Linked DNA regions of Schizosaccharomyces pombe. Each later gene encodes a partner of the first gene's protein in a complex. Each region holds a gene or a part of one and is shown on either strand. Other genes may lie near its edges. The genes, in order: nto1, mst2, tfg3 and pdp3.

Region 1 (4,566 bases):
TGGCTGCTAAAATACTATTATCTTCGCATCACCTGAAGTGAAATCGAAGAAAACATGATCATTATAATCATACTCTAGGAAATCCAACTAATGGAGATGATTTTACTAATGCTTCTCTTAATTTTGGATAAATACTTGGTCCCACATGCTCCATTGCTTCCTTAGCTATCCCACTTATTTTATCCGGTCGGTTGCAAGCTGAATAAGCTACAACAGATACAATATACAAATGTGTAGGCTCTAATAAACCATTAAATCTTTGAAGCATAGTGTTATGGGTCATTTGTTAACTCTTGATTAATAATGTAACAACGACTGATAGTGTGTGTAACGTAATATGTTAGTACAGTCGGTAACTTAGTAGAAATACCAAATAGAAACGCTTTAAAGGAGCAGCAGATTATATATAAACCGAGAATGATTACTAATAGACTACACACTAAGCTAGTCTAGCAATATCTTTGTTGGGTACGAGCGTGAGTGTATTTGATGACTATTTCACTGCGTGAAAATTTAAGAAAAATTGCTTTTGAAAAATATTAATAAATTAACTATTCGGAACTAAAATGTACAATTAACGGTTTTAGATATTATAAAGTTTCGATATCAATAATTGGTCATAGGTACTAAAGCAACGATGAACTAACTTAACAATAATTTCAGTATCATGAATAGTTTTTCTTGGCTTTAGATCTTGTGATGCGTTCATTAAAGGGAAGCGAATTTTTGGTATATGGTTGCTTGGTGCCATTTTTTTTAGTTACACTGTTTGGTAAAGCATGATTGCTTTGTCCTGTAACATCTTCTGAATGGAAGTTATGCATTCCGTTAGCACGTCCAGACATCTTAGGAATTTCAATTGTCGAAAACTGAGCAACCTGATTTTGGAACATAGAAATGGGAAATTTCCCTATTTTTTCATTCAAATCTAAACCCTCAATAAAATCATGTAAGGACTTAAGATTTCCCTGTGAAGGAATATCCAGTTGACTCATTTCAAGCTCGTTTAAACCGGGCCAGTTATCATACTCAAGTCCGTTAATACCGAGAGAGGGTACTTTGAGATTCCCTCTTTCATCAAGACTCAAACTTTCAAAGTATATTTTTGCCTTAATAAATAGTTTTTTCACTTCTCCTTCTGTTTTTTGTGCAAACTGAACCATGGCAGTTAATTGTTCCATATCATCAATACACTGTATTACACCATCAACATCCCAAATAGGCTCAAGTTTCTTTTCTAGAGAGCTAATACTGCCGATCTGATAACTGAATACTTGTCTTTTTAATTCAACCCACCCAATCCATCCATTATCGAGCGGCATATTGAAAAGACCATCGACATCGAGATCTATAATTTTAACAAGGGTATCCTGTAATAACCGTTGAGCAGGAAAATAGTTTAAATTCAAAAATTTTTTTCTTAAGTTTGATAATTGACATTTTAATAATTGCCGTTTAGCAGTAGATTCTACAAGAGTAAGCAATGATTGATATTGATCTTGTAGAGCCTTCGCTACTTCTAAAGACCTAACGCGATCTTTAGAAGCCCTCACCGGGAGATTTTCAAGACTATCCATAAGGAGTTGCGATTTAAGCAATGGCGCATCCTTTCGGGATCGGCGTTTCATGTGATAAAATTTGCAGATGTCAGTTACTATGGAGGGCAGATCTTGCCTTTTAACATTATAAGACAATAAAACTTTGGTAACTTTATCAACAATAAAAGCCGGTAATGGATGCGATTTCCATGGCCCTTCGGGCACAAAATCAGGCGCTTTAGTAGCTTGGAAGTTGAGTGGAACGTCTGTAGCCATGCGTTTGTAATATAATTCAGCTAACGGAAACAAGCGCTTCATCAATCCGTTTAAATAATCGGGTGGAGTATGTTTATCACAATAAGTTTCCATATCAACACTATCATAACTTGCAGAATGTGAGTATATTTTGTAAAAAAAACCTGCACGTCGAGCACAAGTTATATGGTAAGCTGCATAACAATTTTTATCTGAGCATTGCACACAAGTACCCCATCGAAGTTTACAAATGCAACACACCAATTTCCAGCGAGACTTTGGGATTGAAGCAATGTTTCGAACCAAGTCTAATCTACTAGTGTCGTGAAAAGATATTTCAGGGATTGCTATGGCGCAAATTGTGTGGCACCAACGTCCATCCAAGGTTGTGCAAAACGCACCATCTCTGTCAGGACAAAAAGCACAGCATATAACTTCATGAGGGGCTAGTAAACATTTCTTACAAAACCATTGACCCTCTGGAACAAAAGGGATTCCATAACAATTCTGGTGAACAGAAGTGTTACAGTTATCGCAAAAAACTATAGCATTACTGTTTTCGCATTCTGCTTCATTACAAATAACACAACGACCATCTAGTTCATCCTCCACTCTGACGGGTTCAATCTTAGGCATCCAAGCCTCTAGATAAAGCCATTCGCGTTCAATAATGGTAAGAACTATTTCTAAAAATTCTTTAGAAACATTTTCCCACTCTGAATTAGATGAAAGTTGAAACTCATTATAATATGTTAACCACATTGTGTCTAACTCATCCAAGTCGTAGGATACAGGAAAGGACGTTTTTGAGTAAGGATGTATAGCAACGAACTTGAAATATTCGTCTGGACTCCAATCTAATTGTTTCGCAGTTTTATATCCAAATTTTTTCTCTTGTGGATTAATATTTTCCGTTTGAACACCTACTGGCTTTACGTTTTCGATCTTGGCATTGAGCAAAGCTTTAAGCACATAAGAATTCTCGGATTTATAGGTTACTAAAGAATCACGAAGGCCTGCATATTGTGTATGGTCACCTTCTAATATTTCCAAAGGTTCGTCTATTTGTAGGTCTGGATGGAAAGATTTATAGGGAATCTCTTCTCTCGGCTGAAAAGCAAGTTCATCGGGTCTTAGAATATTTCGACCAGTAGAAGTAAGTCGGAAGGTTTGCATGAAAGCCTTTTACAAGATAGATTTACCATACTATCTTTTTTACATTTCTTTCATGGTGTAACTATATTTACGAGAAAAAGGTGCAATTTTGCTTAAACTTCAATAGTGCATTCTGCCGCTGATGATTAAGCAGAATAAGCGGGGGTAACGTGAATGACCGAAATAAAAAGATGATTGTAAACAGTTGAACTCTGAAATGAAAATAGTTTGGACATAGGAAGGGGTAAATTTATTCTTCCCGTTCTTTCTCTTTTTATATTTATTGGTGTTGTTTTCAAAGAAAACCAGAGGAAATTGGAAAGCGTGATTTTGCATTTTACGGAAATGTAAGAGTTACAATTATATACAGTTGATGTGAAAGTACAAAGATTTTCGAGATGCTTGATAAAAAGCCCTTTCAAGAATCTTTGTGAATAGTTTATAAGCTAATATTTTTGTACCCGCCATCAACGAATACTTCACTTAGTTTATTCTTCTAGAAGTCTAACATTTACACCAATCACAATTAAATTGCTTCATCAAAATGGGCCTCTAGAGTTTACCTAGCGTCGAAGAGATTGAGGACTTAGCGTTTTTTAACAAAAAAATCTTTCGGAATACATAGGGTTATGACCTCTTTATTATAATACTTTGACAAACTATATTCGCTAAATCTTTCTTCCTTTATTCAAGCTTTGAGTAAAAGTAATGCGAGTTTCTGCTACTTTTCAAGGATAACACTTTAAATTTTAGATTGGCTCGGAAAATATTTCGCTCAAACCACACTTCTTTCACTGGTAAGGTCTCAACGTTTATATAAGTTTGTTGCCAATTGTAAATAAGAGTTTAGACAATGCTACAAGTATAAAACAATGCATAAGCCCTGATGAGGAACTCAAGCGAGTATCGACTCAACGGCAATAAAGATTATTTTAAGAACTAACTAGTTTTATCACCAAATACATCAAACAAAGAATGGACTTGGTGATTAGCGTAGAAACAGATCTACGGCTAAAATTCCAAAACTATAACGGTACTAATATTTCTTGGATGTACATTGTGTAACGATAGTAATTAGTAGCGGCAACAGAAAAATCTGACTACTATCCCATAAACGTTCAAATAAAAGCAAAAATAGAGCTTTCCTCTGTTCTAAACTGAACTGGTATTTTTTAAACAAACATGATAGATTAACGAGTATGTTAGCACTTCACACTAGGCGATCTATTCAAATTTAGTCATATTATCGTATTCGGTAAACCACTAATTTCTTTGCACAAAAAGTGATGCTTATTCAAGTCAAACCTAAGAAAGATATGAACAACTAACTATATATATATGCATGTGCTAACATTTTTTTTTGCAAAATCAAGAATTAAGTACCTCTTGTTTAGTGGCTTATATAAAACTGCGAGGTAGCTCGCTATTCGTGTAATAAAATTTTACTACGACAAGGGGGAAGTTTTCAACTGCACAACATGGCACCTCCTCAAGGAAAGCCCGAAAATGTGCTAAGGGTATGTATTATGAGTTTTTTACTTACTTTGACTAACATAAATTAGCTTGCCGATGAGCTGATAGCTCTAGATCAGCACAGCTCAGCACTGCAATCTCTTCA
Region 2 (5,884 bases), on another chromosome or scaffold:
TCCTGCGTAGTACTAATACTTAACTATAGCTAACCATTTTAAACGTTGCTGGTTATGCAATTAGAATTACACTATGGCTATCAATGTGTTTCCTGTTTCAATAATTTGGATTTTTTAAGCTCGTCGAATAAACAAAGCTGCCATAAAGTACAGCGAAGTCATCAACAAAAAAGTTATGGATTATTGTACTTTTCATGCACAGCAAAAATATTTAAAGATGTTTAAATATATATAAATATTATGAACGTAGACAATGCTTGCAAGTTTAAATAAACTTTAAAAAATCGACTTCTATAGCATTTGCCTACATATGTCACTTGTTTACGTTTTGACATTTCTCCTTATTAACCCACCATTCCACCACAATTGTAAAAATTATTATCAAATTTATATATTTCTTTACCGCTAGAATTCAATTTTACAAGAAAATTTTATCCCTTGCTTATAAAGACTCTGTGAATTAAAAAAAAGTCTCGTTTCCTTAGAAAATTTGTTTTTCCGTTGAATAAGGCGCTTTCAGTATTACTTGCCATTGGAAAGTGGTAGAATGTTTAATTAATGGTTTTTTTTTTGTTAATATTTATCTATTTAACCCAATTTTTTTCATTTAATACACCACTTCAGACGAATGGCTTCTAACCCTAATGCCGTTGAACAAGAAATTCTACAAGCTGTCAATTCGGCTCAAACTACCGATAAACGGAAAGCTCATGAGCAATCATTAGCATATCTTCCGGTGGAGGAAGAAAGAGGAGTTAATGTTGTTGGCTCAAAGATGAAACCCCGCTACATTGCTTTGACTTGTGATGATGTGACTCGTATTTTTTATATACACAGATTGAAAGTAAATGATAAAGGCGGAATGACAGTCGTGAAATCCTGGCCTTTATTTGAGTTGCAGAATATTACTGTAATTAATGATCATGATGTTACTATGACAATAAACAAGCCACATTTGTTGCGAACTCAGGACACTTCTGCTCGCGATCGATTTGTTTTTTCTGTTGCTAAAAATTATATGTACTATATGGGCAGGCCGCTTTCAGTGACTACGACTGATGGCCGCAAAGTGGACTGGGCCTATCGTAATTCCTTTGCTGATAACAAACCTAATCTCTATCCTGCAAAGAGCCTAGCTATTCCTAAAGCAAGGTCATCATTACCTGAAAATTCTTCAGAACAAGTTTCCTCATCTTTTAACTCTCGAGTCGCACATAACCGTAATTTTTCGGACGGCCCAATTGTTACCAATTTAGAAACGGATCAGCCTCGCATCGAGAAGAAGCTCACTATTGATTCTTCTCGATCAGCCAAAAAGAAGTTGAGTGTTGAAAAAGAAAGACGGTTTTCTGACAATAAGCCTTCTTCCAACGTTTCCCGGGGGACCCCATCATCTGCCCATAGTGATGTTATAGAAATTTCAAGTTCTTCTGCCATTGCAAGGACTTCAGGAGACCGAAAAGATGATGTCTTATTCGATACTTCAACTCAAAGACGAGATAATCAAACACGGGAAATGTTTATTCAAGAACAAGCTCAATTGTTTCCATCTAAACCTTCTTTACGTAAAACTACTCGTCGTGAACAAGCACCCTCATTTAACAGTGGAACGAGTTCTTCGGAAAGGGGTAAGAATAGCATCAGTGGTTCTTACGAGAAAAATACAGCTTTGGCACTAGAAGCTGGTAAGTATAATATGTCTCAAAAAGACGTGAAACTAAGCTCTTCTTTGGAGTCAAACACATTTGCTAGCGATTTTAGTAAAGTGGATCGTGATGCTACCCAGGCAGCTTTATCTTCTAGCTTAGAAACTCCTTCAGTATTAACGTCATCTTACAAGCCTTCCAGTTCGTCTAAAGTATCAGCAAAGTCTGTTTCTCGAAAACCAACAGGAGCACCGGCTATTCCTAAATTACCTCCAAAGCACCCGTCCCGTCAGCCAACTGTTCGGGCAACTCCTTCGACTGGTAAACAAATCGAACCACCAAACGACGAGCCTTCTATAGGAAATGAACTTCTTCCCCTTTTTGAAAGTTTGCGCTTTGAAAATAGAAAAACCACTTCCAAGCCAAAAGCCAAGAAAACTCTTGTTACTTCCATTCCGACTAAACCGCACCAAGCTTCTGTTGAAAAAGTTTACGATCTTAACTCAAAAATCAACCTCAAAAACATTCCGGAGCAAAGCATTTCTCGTCTTTCCACTTTGAAGTGGAATGAAGGTACAACTATAAAAGATGTATTGAAACAAACAGAATTTTCGTTTGATGGAGCTATCATAAGCAGTGTGGAAAACCTTGCTGAAGAAGAAATCGAATTGCAAAACATTAAGAGCCAACTTCAAGATTGTGCTTTAGGTTGTGAGTCTATCAATTCAACCATCAACTTATTTTCCCTAGAGTTGTCTACTGCATTAAATGGCGTCATTAATATAGAGCAACAACCAAGCCGTAGATGATACAAATGCTTCACGACAAATATCGAAAGATTAAAATACTTATTTATTTGAACTAAACGGAATCCAGATGATGAGAGTTATCTAATAGACGCTTTTGAGGTAGAGGAATAAGTATATTTTCTTTAAGTAAAAGGTTAGATATCTGCTCTTCTCCGAGATATGGCGTCCATCTTAGAAGTTTTGGATTTACTCTTTGAGGGTGTTTGATATTCCAAGCTTTATAAACATTCTCAAGTTCATCCCGTTTCAGTTGTAATACATATTTCTTTTTGAGCGGATCATACTTAAATACAGATAACGATTCCAATGTGGATATAACATCGTCGCATACCATAGATGTTGATTTGGCGATAGCATTTATGCTAATCGGTGTTGTGATTTCCAATAGAGCTTTGGCTACTCTCATTTTCCAATAGCTTCGGTACGTAACGAGGCCTAAATCTGAAAGTGGCTTTTCAGGTGATCCAAGCTTACCTTCTACCTGTGTAAGTAAATAACTAAAATCAATCAAAAAGACACCATATCCTCGGCGTTGGTAAATGGGTAATGTTAATATACAGGAAACGTTATAATCAGAAGCCGAGCGTTTCTCTTTACTGAAATATCCAATAACTTTGCATTCTTGGCCATCAAATTCAGTCAATACATAGAAAAGAAACGGTTCAACGTCATAGTACAGCATTTTTGAATGAAGAAACATCTTTGCTAGAAGACATAAATTTTGACAATATATCTAAGGAAAAACATCAATAAGTATAAAATGCATAAAAAATTACTTACCGGTTGCCGTTGACCATCAACTTCAAAAATTGATATATTCTTATCCCGATATATTTCATCTCCTGGTGGATAACTCCATGAGCATTTCATCTGATTATGTTAGTCCGTAAATTCAATTTGGATAGATTATGATCTTTTAATGTACACCTCGTTTAAACTCAAGCAATAGCGAATAACATTATGATCTTACTTGAAAAGTTGTTTACCTTGTGCCTTTGTAGTACATGATCACTGTTCATATACTTTAAACAAGATTCGCATATATATAAATTTTTTGCACAGCTATACTCCTCTGGATACGGTGATGTATACCATGGTTTTATCCGGTAAGTACCAAAATAGAGGTATCGAATGGAGGTTGGTTGTGGTGGAGGCGTTCGCAACTGTGTAGATAAAATAGGATCGGAAAATGAATAAGCCACATCCTTTGTCCTATCTGCTACTGTCTTTGCTTTTTCAAACAGCCTCACATCGTCTTGGTTGAGTCTCGTAATCGATGTGTCAGCTTGCCCTTTAGTTAATAGACCCAAAAAAGTACTTTCCGAATTTAACTCTAATAAATGTTTCTTATAAAATGGATATCTGGAGGAGTTTGTATCAAACTTTATTATTAACAAAGTCTTTGAACTGGCTGTGGATTTCAAAATAGTCGCCGGCATTATACATAAAAAAAAAAGATTGTTTATATTTACAGATCGTTCATAGTTTTCCTAATGGCCCCATTTAATCCTTTGGTCAATATAATTGAGTTGGTGGTAGTGCCCTCATTCTCTTCTTAGTTCTTGCTTTACTTCCACCTCCATCCGATCTCTGCAAAGATAACCCTTTCACTCTTGTTAAATAAAAAACTACTCATATTTTTTACTTTTGTATTCTGAAACAGTAACCATTCATAACTTCACTGTTAGCTTTTTGATTGAATGCCATTACAAACGTTGCGTATAAATACTACAAAGTCACCTTGGGTGATTCAACGATAAGTTTTACATTAGTAGTTTTAATGCCACTTTAATTATTCTCTAATTTCGACTTTATTTTCAAGTAATGTAATGATGATAAATGCAGAAATTTTTTAAATATGAACACGTAGAAAAGTAAAAAAAATATCATGTAAAGGGTGAGTACACTAAATTAAGTGTAAGAATGCAAAGGAAGCAGCATCAGAACTATATGAAATTGTTACCATAATTTTCTAATTTTAAAAAAGCAGAAGCAAAGGACAAGCTAATTCTATTCAGTAGCAAAACTGGAAAATCCTCTGAAACACTCTTGTTGTTGTCGTGTGAGAACAGTATTGACAGGTGTCAAAGTTGGACATGCACCTAATCGATCGTTAGTAATTAACCATATTTTAACAATTGTCATACTTGTAAATTCTTCATCAAAATTATTGAGGTCTCGGGGATCGTTGATAAGCGGTTTATATGATGGTTCATAAAGTTTGTTATACAAGTCATCCCAGACAATACTAGCAAAGAAAGGATGAGCCATAACCTCGTTTGCGTCTTTTGGTCCACTACCAAGTCGTTGATTTGGATCTCTTGTTAAAAGCTATTTTTTGAATTAGTTAACATATTTAGAAATTTGCATACCCCTCTCAATAACGAAACCGCATCCGCTGGCATATTAATCGGAAACAACGGTTCATCGCTTAAAATCGCATCGAATATTTCCTCTTCATCTTCACCTTTGAAAGGGGATTGACCCAGTAACATTTGATACATCAAAACGCCAAAAGCCCACCAATCAACATCCTTGGAATATTGCTGTTCTAATAAAATCTATTTTCGTTAGATAAAATAAACCAAAACAAGTTCCGCCTTACTTCTGGAGCCATGAATTCGGGGGTACCACAAAAGGTGGAAGTTGTATTGCCAAGCAACATATTTTCTTTGCAGAGTCCATAATCAGCAATTCGTATATGACCATCAGGACAAAGTAGAATATTATCCAATTTCAAATCACGGTAAGCAATTCCATTCTCATGAAAATACTTCAATGCTAAACAAACCTCAGCACCATAAAATCTATGGGGTTAATAAAAAATAAAAATAAAAATAAAAATAAAGATTGAAGTACTACCTTGCACGTTTCACGCTAAACTGTTGACGTTGAATATGAACCATAAGGTCACCACCAAGAATATATTCCATAACGAAGTAAACCCTGGTACTAGTTTGAAAGCTTGCAAAAAGATTCAGCAAGAACGGATGTTTTTCTTTATTCGCGACTTCGAAAACATGCTTTTCAGTTTTTAAACTCTCTAGTTCCTCATTCTTTAAAATGGCTTCTTTTTTCAGAACTTTGATGGCATAAAACTTTTTATTCACTTTATATTCAGCCAACATAACCTTGCCAAAATTGCCTTTCCCTAATACAGCCAAAAATGTGAAGTCGTCAAGCGTAACACGATTCTTTTTCTCTCTGCGTGGACTTTCTGGAACACTTCTATTAGCATCCTTGGAAGACGATAAGCTAGCACTGGAAGGTGGAGCAAGAACAGAAGCTGGAGTAGGAGTAGAAGAGGAAGGAGTAACATTTAAAGATCGATCTTTCTCAGGGGTTTTTGGAAGTGGAGACGTATTAAGTACACTTGTAACTGGCTGAGTAGCAGCAAGTAAGCCCTGAGATATCGTTGGTAATGTATCA
Region 3 (3,671 bases), on another chromosome or scaffold:
TGACACCTCTGATCAATAGCGTAAATATCCCGGTCAAGTTTGCAGGAAAACTTTTTTGCCAAACTTCTCCAATTACGCTTAGATCCCAATAGTCCGTGGAAGATCAAAACTGGGGGGTGTTTAGCAACTGTGGCAGAATACTTCTCAAAGGCTAATTTAACTGGTTTTAGAGACATAACTCTATAATTTCTTGTGCAGTAATAAATAAACACTATAAGGTCGATATAAAATAATTATAATTTAATCTGTCATGAAGTTGTAGTTGCAGGAAACGTTTGCGAATAGCAAAGTGAGCCTAATCCAAGGAATGATAAATAACTACTTATCGGCAGTGTGATCATAATCTGAATTGCTGATTATGAAAGCTAAAAAGGTCGGTTTTAAAATATTATGTAAGTAAAAACAAAAATAATTATATTAATCTAACCAAATATTCTTTTTCGAGACAAAAGCTACACCATAGTACCAAAATACAAATGTTTGTATCGCTGTTTAAGCGCAAGTTAAACTCAAAAAATAGTGAAAAGGAATGAAATTTCTTATTTAAATTATGATACAAGAACTCATTAAGCAGTCTTCAGGAAAAAAGTAGAATGGGGAAACTAACGCTTCTCCCTTAAAGTAGGCTGCACAAAACTGCAATGCTCTTAATTACATAGTGACGCGTTTAGCACAGAAACTGTATAATAAGAGCAGAAGATTGTCCGGCAGAGTATATAAGTCAATATGGAATTCACCCCCTTCAATGTCGTTTCGGACATACATGTCTGGTGTTTTGTTCTCATTCACCATCTGCACAACTTGTAACAAGTCATCCTCCTGAAGTTTTTGCAAACCCTCTGCAAGTTTATCCATGTCAACAGGTTTAGCTTTCGCCTTTTTCTTCCCAGCACCAACTTCTGATTCGTTTTTTCTTTTATCCTTACGAGCTTCTTCACCTTCATCACTGTAGCCAGGTACTTCTCCAGTGGCTGTCAGTGCCTTTAATAAACCTGGCCTAGTAGCATTGATATTCTAAGACTCAGTTAGCACCATAAAATCAGAGTCTAGTAAATGTTAAAATACTTAAAACACATACCAATTCGATATCCTCATGATAATGCTCCTGCTGAAAATGTAAATAGTGAAGGAACCGATGTTCACCACCTTTGTCCGCATAGTATATTATGATCTCCATTTCAAACTCACCCCATCCTTGCTCTTTTATTTGGAAAGGAGGTTTTCTGATAGCTAAAAAAATTAGTTAACGTTATTCTGCTAATCTTCCTTTCATCACATAATACATACTGCGTGTAGGATTTTGAAATGTTGGATGTAGCTTATAGGTGACACGATCAACAAAGGAAGCGTCAGTTTCTTCTCCCTGAGGATTTAAGCAGACCAATTTTATAGACCATTCCCTCACAGGGAAGCTTTGATCGTTCAACACAGCTGCTTCACCTCCCGGCAACACATTCTAAATATTGTAAGTTCAAAGTTCATCAAGATACTTGCAAGAAAAAGTTTTGTTTTTTATTGTTCTTCTAAATTCAATTGTACGAGCATCCTGTATAATGCCAAAGTTTTTTGTAATTGCACCTAACCTTGACCATTGGGTCAAATAACGCGCCTCGGTCGTAGCAAATGAATCAGATGGCTTTCATACCTGATCAGTAATTAATCTCACAGTTCTTTTCACAGTTGTCATATTCTTAAATCAATGTATATGAGGACGAAAAATATATGGATAGAAGACGCTTAGCGAGTCGTGAGAAGAGATATCGGGCTAACGATTCTATAACTTTTGCGGTATTCTTAAAATTGAAAAGATAAAAAATCTTGCCAATGTACGAATTGAAATAGAAGCACCAGTAATTTGTGTTCAGAAATATTGAGCACTACTACTTTTAAGGACTTCTAAAAGTCGGTTAACTCAAGGATAAAGCAAATGACTTTGGTTTAATAACAAATATCTCTTTTGTTAAAATTTATTAGCAGATTACAGGGAAGTAACTGCTAAAACTGTGAGACTATAAAACGTTTGAATAGTGGAATATGACTTTTGGGTTCGTCACGGCCCAAATTCCTGGAAAGTACAAGTAGACTTACAAACTGACAGTGAAGGTATGGTACTGCAGTGTAATATACTAAAAACTTTAATGCACAGTCAGTTTAATTTTAAAGCATAATAACGAAACTTTTGGATGCGATGAATTTTACTCGAACTATATAGTAAACAAACCCTCGAGCACCATGTTAATATAAGGCATTGGGTATATTATTTTTATGCAGAGGTAAGAGTTTATCCCGATTCCCAAGTTAGCTTATTCATAAATTGGATCTAGGCTTTAGCTGAAAGAACTTTGAACTATTGGATTCTTTTCCAGCGATGGATTAATCTGGCAACTTCTTTAGAACATTTGAGAATAACAAAAAATACCGCAGCAAAAGAACTTTGTTGCTAATACGAGAATAGTGAAAGTTGTTTAATATTTTAAAAAATTGATTGTGTCAGTAATCGATCCTCGTTATCCAGAAGCCGTGTCAGTTACGTATATAAATGGAGTGGTAGCATATGCGTTGTTCACATTGTCAATTACACCCGGCAGCTTAAGCTTTGATTTAATTTCACTTTAGTACACAGTGAAACATGACTAACGAAAGACATGATGAATTAGCATGCTTAGGCATATTCCCTTTGAAAAATCCCAAACAACTAGATGGTGTTGTTACCCCTATCTTGCAGTTGAGAGTCAAGTTTTTAGCACCCACGGATCGATGGTGGGAAGGATTAGTTATAAATAAGGACCTCAGCAAAGAGGAGTCAGAAGAGTTATGGAAATTTTTGCAAAGCTTTGACCCTCGTTCTGCCAAGTTTGTTGGTCGCGGGACACCTGAAGACCATGTGATATCGTATTTATTTGAAGCAGGGAAGTATGAATTTGAGGTATTTTTTTACCAAAAGGATCATTCTCTGAAACTTATGGGCCTCTATGATAAAACCCAAAAACAATTGTTGAGACGCGATTCTAGTGGTGACTTAACATCCACTGACAAGGAGCGGGATGTTTCTCCTGTTTCACACAGCGAAAAGCCTTACTGGGATCGTTATGATCTTGACCAACCTTCCAATCAAGATGTAGAAGAATCTAGAAACCTTGTCCAAGAACCTAAGCATCGATCGAAGAAATATGATCGTCTTGGTTTGGATGAGCTAGTAATGGAACAAACTGCTAGTCTTTGGAAAATCTGCTCCAGAAATGGCATGAGTGTCGATGAATTTCTACGCTTCATTCGCATGGGTTTGGAATCTAATTTCCAACATTCAAACCAAGTGATTCCAACGCATTTTTAACGATATTATATCATTCATATTCAATCGACACAAATGTTTAGCAACCGTTTAGTGTCTTTTACCCAAGAAATATCTAAACACTTTTTTTATTTTTATAAAATATTTGTAAATTAAAAAAAGATGATTAAAACGATAAATGCTTAATTAGGTATTTGTTGAAACACATTTCATTTTATGATAAAGAACGTTCCTAGTATCAGCATTATTTATTTAGATGTAAATTGGGAATTGAACCTAATTACACCTTTTATGTATACATTCTTCTTCACTTTCTAGCGGATTTCCAAACCGAAAGTCAAAGTCATTTGGAGATTGTATACATAGCTCTATAGCCGAC
Region 4 (3,861 bases), on another chromosome or scaffold:
CCTAGTGCAGAGGCAACAACCGAAAAGGCACGGGCTGTGGTGTTTCGGACATATTCGTCGACATGATCAATGTCAGGTCTCATTGTAGCAATCATATGAGCCAAGCCGGAAGCTTTAGCTAAGTTACTAATGATTTCCCGACCTTCAGCACGTGCATAGTAATCTTCATCAATAAGAAGGGGTTCAATAACTACGAGAATTTTATGAGTAAAAGGGCGAACCAGATCATCCAATTTGTATAATATACGATCAATAACCTTAACTAAAAGATGGCGCTCCTGATCTTCCAGTGTTCGTTCCATTAACAACGGAAGAATCTGATTAAATAAAGCAGCTGCACCAAAGTCGCGAGCTTGATCCGTAAGCTGGCGTAATGCACTCTTACGCATGGGAGGAGTACCATTTTTTACTTTCAGAAGTAATCTCAAAATTTTACGTTCACGAAGTTCCGCAATTGTAAGCTTGGCCTCGTCCTCCACCTTGAGTAACTTGCCAAAATATTTAACATCTTCTTGCTTAAAAAAAGCTAAATCACCTACACCGGGTATTTCTGTAGGCAATGCAGCTGGTAATTCTTTTTCTAAAGGAAGCTCTTGCTCTTGTGGAACGTGATATGTATCGAGCGTAGTACCTTTTTGAAGTAGTTCAGGATGAATTGATTCTAAATATCCAGGAGGAGGCTCCAAAATAGCATAGCCTTCTGACGGCAAAAGCTCATTTAACTCTTCTTCAGTTAATAAACGGACAGGAGGTCGTAATTTTTCTTCTACTACATTTACTTCCTTATTAATAAGATCTTCAGAAATTCCGTTTTCTATAACATGTTCAGATATAGTGAAGTTTTCAGGAGCTTTGTCCCAACGTGATCTACGCTTAGTAGTGGAAACCTGCGTAACGCTAGGTGGAGCCTGATCCCAACGAGAGCGTTTAGGCTTCTGAGATATTTCCGTATTATTAAGCTCTAGTTCTCTTTTTTTGTCCGATATGCTTTCCTCCTCCTCCACCTCTTTTAGTGTTCCTTCACGACGTCTTTGATTTAATTCCATATGAACTCGTCGCTCTTCCTTTTCTAATTCAACCTGCCGCATAACCTCCGCATAAGATCTTCCATTGCTCTGTGTCCCATCAGGTTGAAAAGCATCTACGCGGGTTGGAGTAAGCTGTCTATCATAACGCTGCTTTTGATAATCTGACTCGCGATCCTGAATTTGCTTTTTTGACTGTCTCTCTTGCATAGGGTCATAACTTTCATCAGCGTATTCATTTAGTAGTTCCTTAGGTGCTTCATATTGACGCACTAAACGATAACTATCATTAACATCGTTTGTACGTTTATAATCGTCTTCATCCTGAGAGATATCATTGCGCACGTCAATTGCGGAGTCATATTCTTCTTTTGGGTTACTGGACTTAAAAAGATGAGCATTATATTGTAAATCATTAGAATCCTGGGTACCTTCAATATTTACACTTCCATTTGTCGACGAATTCTTCGCTGCCTCTTTTTGTCTTCGCAAAAGTTCTCTTTCAGCACGAAGCCTTTCTATTTCCACATCTTCTACTTTATTTAGGTTAGTAACATCCATTTTGAACATTTTATAAGGATACGTACCAGTTGACATGTTGATGGCGAAGAAATGCTTTCATGTTGCGCGTCTTATACTCATTTAAATATACTCAAAGCATTCTAAGCTTCGTTATCAATATTTTAAAGTACAATACAGTAACTCGTTTTGTAGAATAACGATAAGATTAACGTGTCTTATTTAGTTTAACCCTCTTTATTAAGATTTATTTGCGAAAGAAATATATACTATCGAAAAAATTAGTATGAGGAATGATATTGAAATATCGAGGTATCATATTGCAACAGCTCAAGCTTTTAGCACCCCCCCCCTCTGCTATTGTAGATCTTGTAAGCGTTGCTGCAATTAATTGATAATAGACAAGCGTCTTACGGTTTCTACTTGTATATCCTAATATTTGGTGGAACCTTTACAAATTGATGTAAAATCTCTTTGGAAAAATTCAGCACTATATCGCTTTAATGTGAAGTTTGGCTTATAAGGAATGTAATTAACGATGATGGTTGCTAGGACACGCAGTCAAAAAAGAAAGCTTGAAGAGATTAATAACCAGAAGAAGATTAAAACAAAAAAAAAGGCCACCGGGCAACAGACTTCTAATACGAAAAATCTGCGTGATGTTAAAAAGAAAGGTAAACAATTAGCGTATGTTCCGAGGACGTCACCAAGGAAATCATATAAAAATGGGGAATATGTTTTAGCAAAGATGAGTAGCTTCCCATGGTGGCCAGCCAGAGTAGCGAGCCAAAAATCAATACCCACTGAGGTACGCGAACGATTGAAACGAAATTTTCGAATGGACAATGGAATATTTGTTCAGTTTCTTCCTTCAAGAGATTACGCTATTATTTCTTCTTCAAATGTTTTGCCCTTAACTGTTGATGAATCAAGGTTTATTTTGGACCATGATTTATCGACAAAGTATATCCAAAAGACGGTAGGTCTCATCATTGCTTCCGTAAAGAGAAAAGTTTCTTTTTCTGATGTCGAAGAGGATGAGTTTGAACCAGAGAATACTCGTAAAAAACTTCAAAAGCCCATCGAGAAACCAAAAAAGGAAAAGATAGAAGCCACACCTAAAATTGACGGGGGTAAAAGGTTAAAAAATGAGAAATCGTCGGCAGAAATTTCTCAAACATCGAAGCAACGACCTTCACGTAGGTCAGCTCGAGTTAGGATGGCTACAGACAACGCTCAGAAATCCCCATCTCCAATTCCTTCTCCCAAGAAAACAGCCAAAAAAAGAGTAAGGTTTGCCGGTTCTTTAGAGGAATTACCAAAATTTTCACTTGAATATCAATTGGCTCAGCCTATAAGTACTGTAGATATGTATGCTCAAGTTCATTATATTCGATTTAATACTCTTTTATATTACCGCTACCAACTACAAGAAATCCTACTGTCATATAATCATTATCCTCAAGAATCGGATATGTCTCATGTGCACCAAATATTGGAGATGATTGAGAATTTCAGCGCAATAAATTCTGAACTATTAGAATCAACCAAGTTGTATTCACTTTTTACTTTGCTTGTTAAATTAAGCGACATACCGTTGGATGAAAAATATGACTTTTCTTCACGATTTTCGACTCTTCTCCTTCAATTCCAAGCATTCGTTCAGCCCAAAACCATGACAAGTAATGTATCTACAGCGCCCATTGGAAAGAATGCTCAAGTGAACACAGAAGCTGCCAGACCATCTGTCATCACTACCTAACTTTTGATCATACATTCATATGCTTTTGTTATCGAATTACATAACTAATCTTGTTTACATTTAATGTTACGATAATATTTGCTTCCAACATTTTCATTAATATAGAACGCATTATTAGCGCGACTCAATGTGTTTATGGTACAAATCGTTACAATACGTTATCCTAGTATGTAAGCAAGAACAAGCATTGCTTACTACCATTTCGTAGTAGGTACCGTCAGTGTTTTTTTTTTTTACTTGCGATATCTCGTGTATACTAATTTAAAAAAAATGTCTTTCTTTGCTCCAAGGAATAAGAAAACGGAGCAGGAAGCAAAGAAATCAATACCTTGGGTTGAGCTTTAGTATGTAAATAGAGAATACTTTTTAAGAACAATAACATTAACACGTATGTAGTCGTCCCAAGACATTGGACCAAGTTTCCTCTCAAGAATCTACTGTACAAGTATTAAAAAAAACACTTTTATCTAATAACTTACCTCACATGTTGTTTTATGGCTCTCCTGGTACTGGAAAGACGTCAACCATTCTAGCTTTGTCTCGTGAGCTATTTGG

What was found.
Region 2: nto1 (region 1) and mst2 share a complex: the UniProt entries of both Schizosaccharomyces pombe proteins name them as parts of the mst2 complex.
Region 3: nto1 (region 1) and tfg3 share a complex: the UniProt entries of both Schizosaccharomyces pombe proteins name them as parts of the mst2 complex.
Region 4: nto1 (region 1) and pdp3 share a complex: the UniProt entries of both Schizosaccharomyces pombe proteins name them as parts of the mst2 complex.

Annotation. Positions count from the first base shown.
Region 1 is NC_003423.3:3,309,912-3,314,477, forward strand, and holds nto1 (histone acetyltransferase complex subunit Nto1), read right to left. Parts: upstream 2,999-4,566; 5' UTR 2,970-2,998; coding exon 666-2,969; 3' UTR 524-665; downstream 1-523. Other genes in the region: carboxymuconolactone decarboxylase-like protein, Pxp2, read right to left, coding at 74-283; tif301 (translation initiation factor eIF3a), read left to right, coding at 4,427-4,465, 4,511-4,566. UniProt on the Schizosaccharomyces pombe protein: Component of the mst2 complex which is a highly specific H3 lysine 14 (H3K14) acetyltransferase that functions together with gcn5 to regulate global levels of H3K14 acetylation (H3K14ac), critical for DNA damage checkpoint activation.
Region 2 is NC_003424.3:2,362,940-2,368,823, forward strand, and holds mst2 (histone acetyltransferase Mst2), read right to left. Parts: upstream 3,996-5,884; 5' UTR 3,895-3,995; coding exon 3,442-3,894; exon of another isoform or gene 3,326-3,441; coding exon 3,236-3,325; exon of another isoform or gene 3,189-3,235; coding exon 2,508-3,188; 3' UTR 2,456-2,507; coding exon of another isoform or gene 629-2,455; 3' UTR 560-628; downstream 1-559. Other genes in the region: exocyst complex subunit Sec3, read left to right, coding at 629-2,455; protein kinase C (PKC)-like Pck1, read right to left, coding at 4,466-4,557, 4,603-4,786, 4,828-5,016, 5,061-5,262, 5,318-5,884. UniProt on the Schizosaccharomyces pombe protein: Component of the mst2 complex which is a highly specific H3 lysine 14 (H3K14) acetyltransferase that functions together with gcn5 to regulate global levels of H3K14 acetylation (H3K14ac), critical for DNA damage checkpoint activation.
Region 3 is NC_003424.3:893,382-897,052, reverse strand, and holds tfg3 (TFIID, TFIIF, Ino80, SWI/SNF, and NuA4 complex YEATS family subunit Tfg3), read right to left. Parts: upstream 2,055-3,671; 5' UTR 1,688-2,054; coding exon 1,646-1,687; exon of another isoform or gene 1,457-1,645; coding exon 1,288-1,456; exon of another isoform or gene 1,231-1,287; coding exon 1,079-1,230; exon of another isoform or gene 1,015-1,078; coding exon 652-1,014; 3' UTR 506-651; downstream 1-505. Other genes in the region: SPOM_SPAC22H12.03 (hydrolase), read right to left, coding at 1-176; protein mug35, read left to right, coding at 2,630-3,334. UniProt on the Schizosaccharomyces pombe protein: Functions as a component of the DNA-binding general transcription factor complex TFIID, and the RNA polymerase II associated general transcription factor complex TFIIF.
Region 4 is NC_003424.3:4,335,166-4,339,026, forward strand, and holds pdp3 (PWWP domain-containing protein), read left to right. Parts: upstream 1-1,915; 5' UTR 1,916-2,082; coding exon 2,083-3,306; downstream 3,307-3,861. Other genes in the region: prp10 (U2 snRNP-associated protein SF3B1), read right to left, coding at 1-1,390, 1,457-1,561, 1,613-1,622; DNA replication factor C complex subunit Rfc2, read left to right, coding at 3,577-3,650, 3,703-3,861. UniProt on the Schizosaccharomyces pombe protein: Component of the mst2 complex which is a highly specific H3 lysine 14 (H3K14) acetyltransferase that functions together with gcn5 to regulate global levels of H3K14 acetylation (H3K14ac), critical for DNA damage checkpoint activation.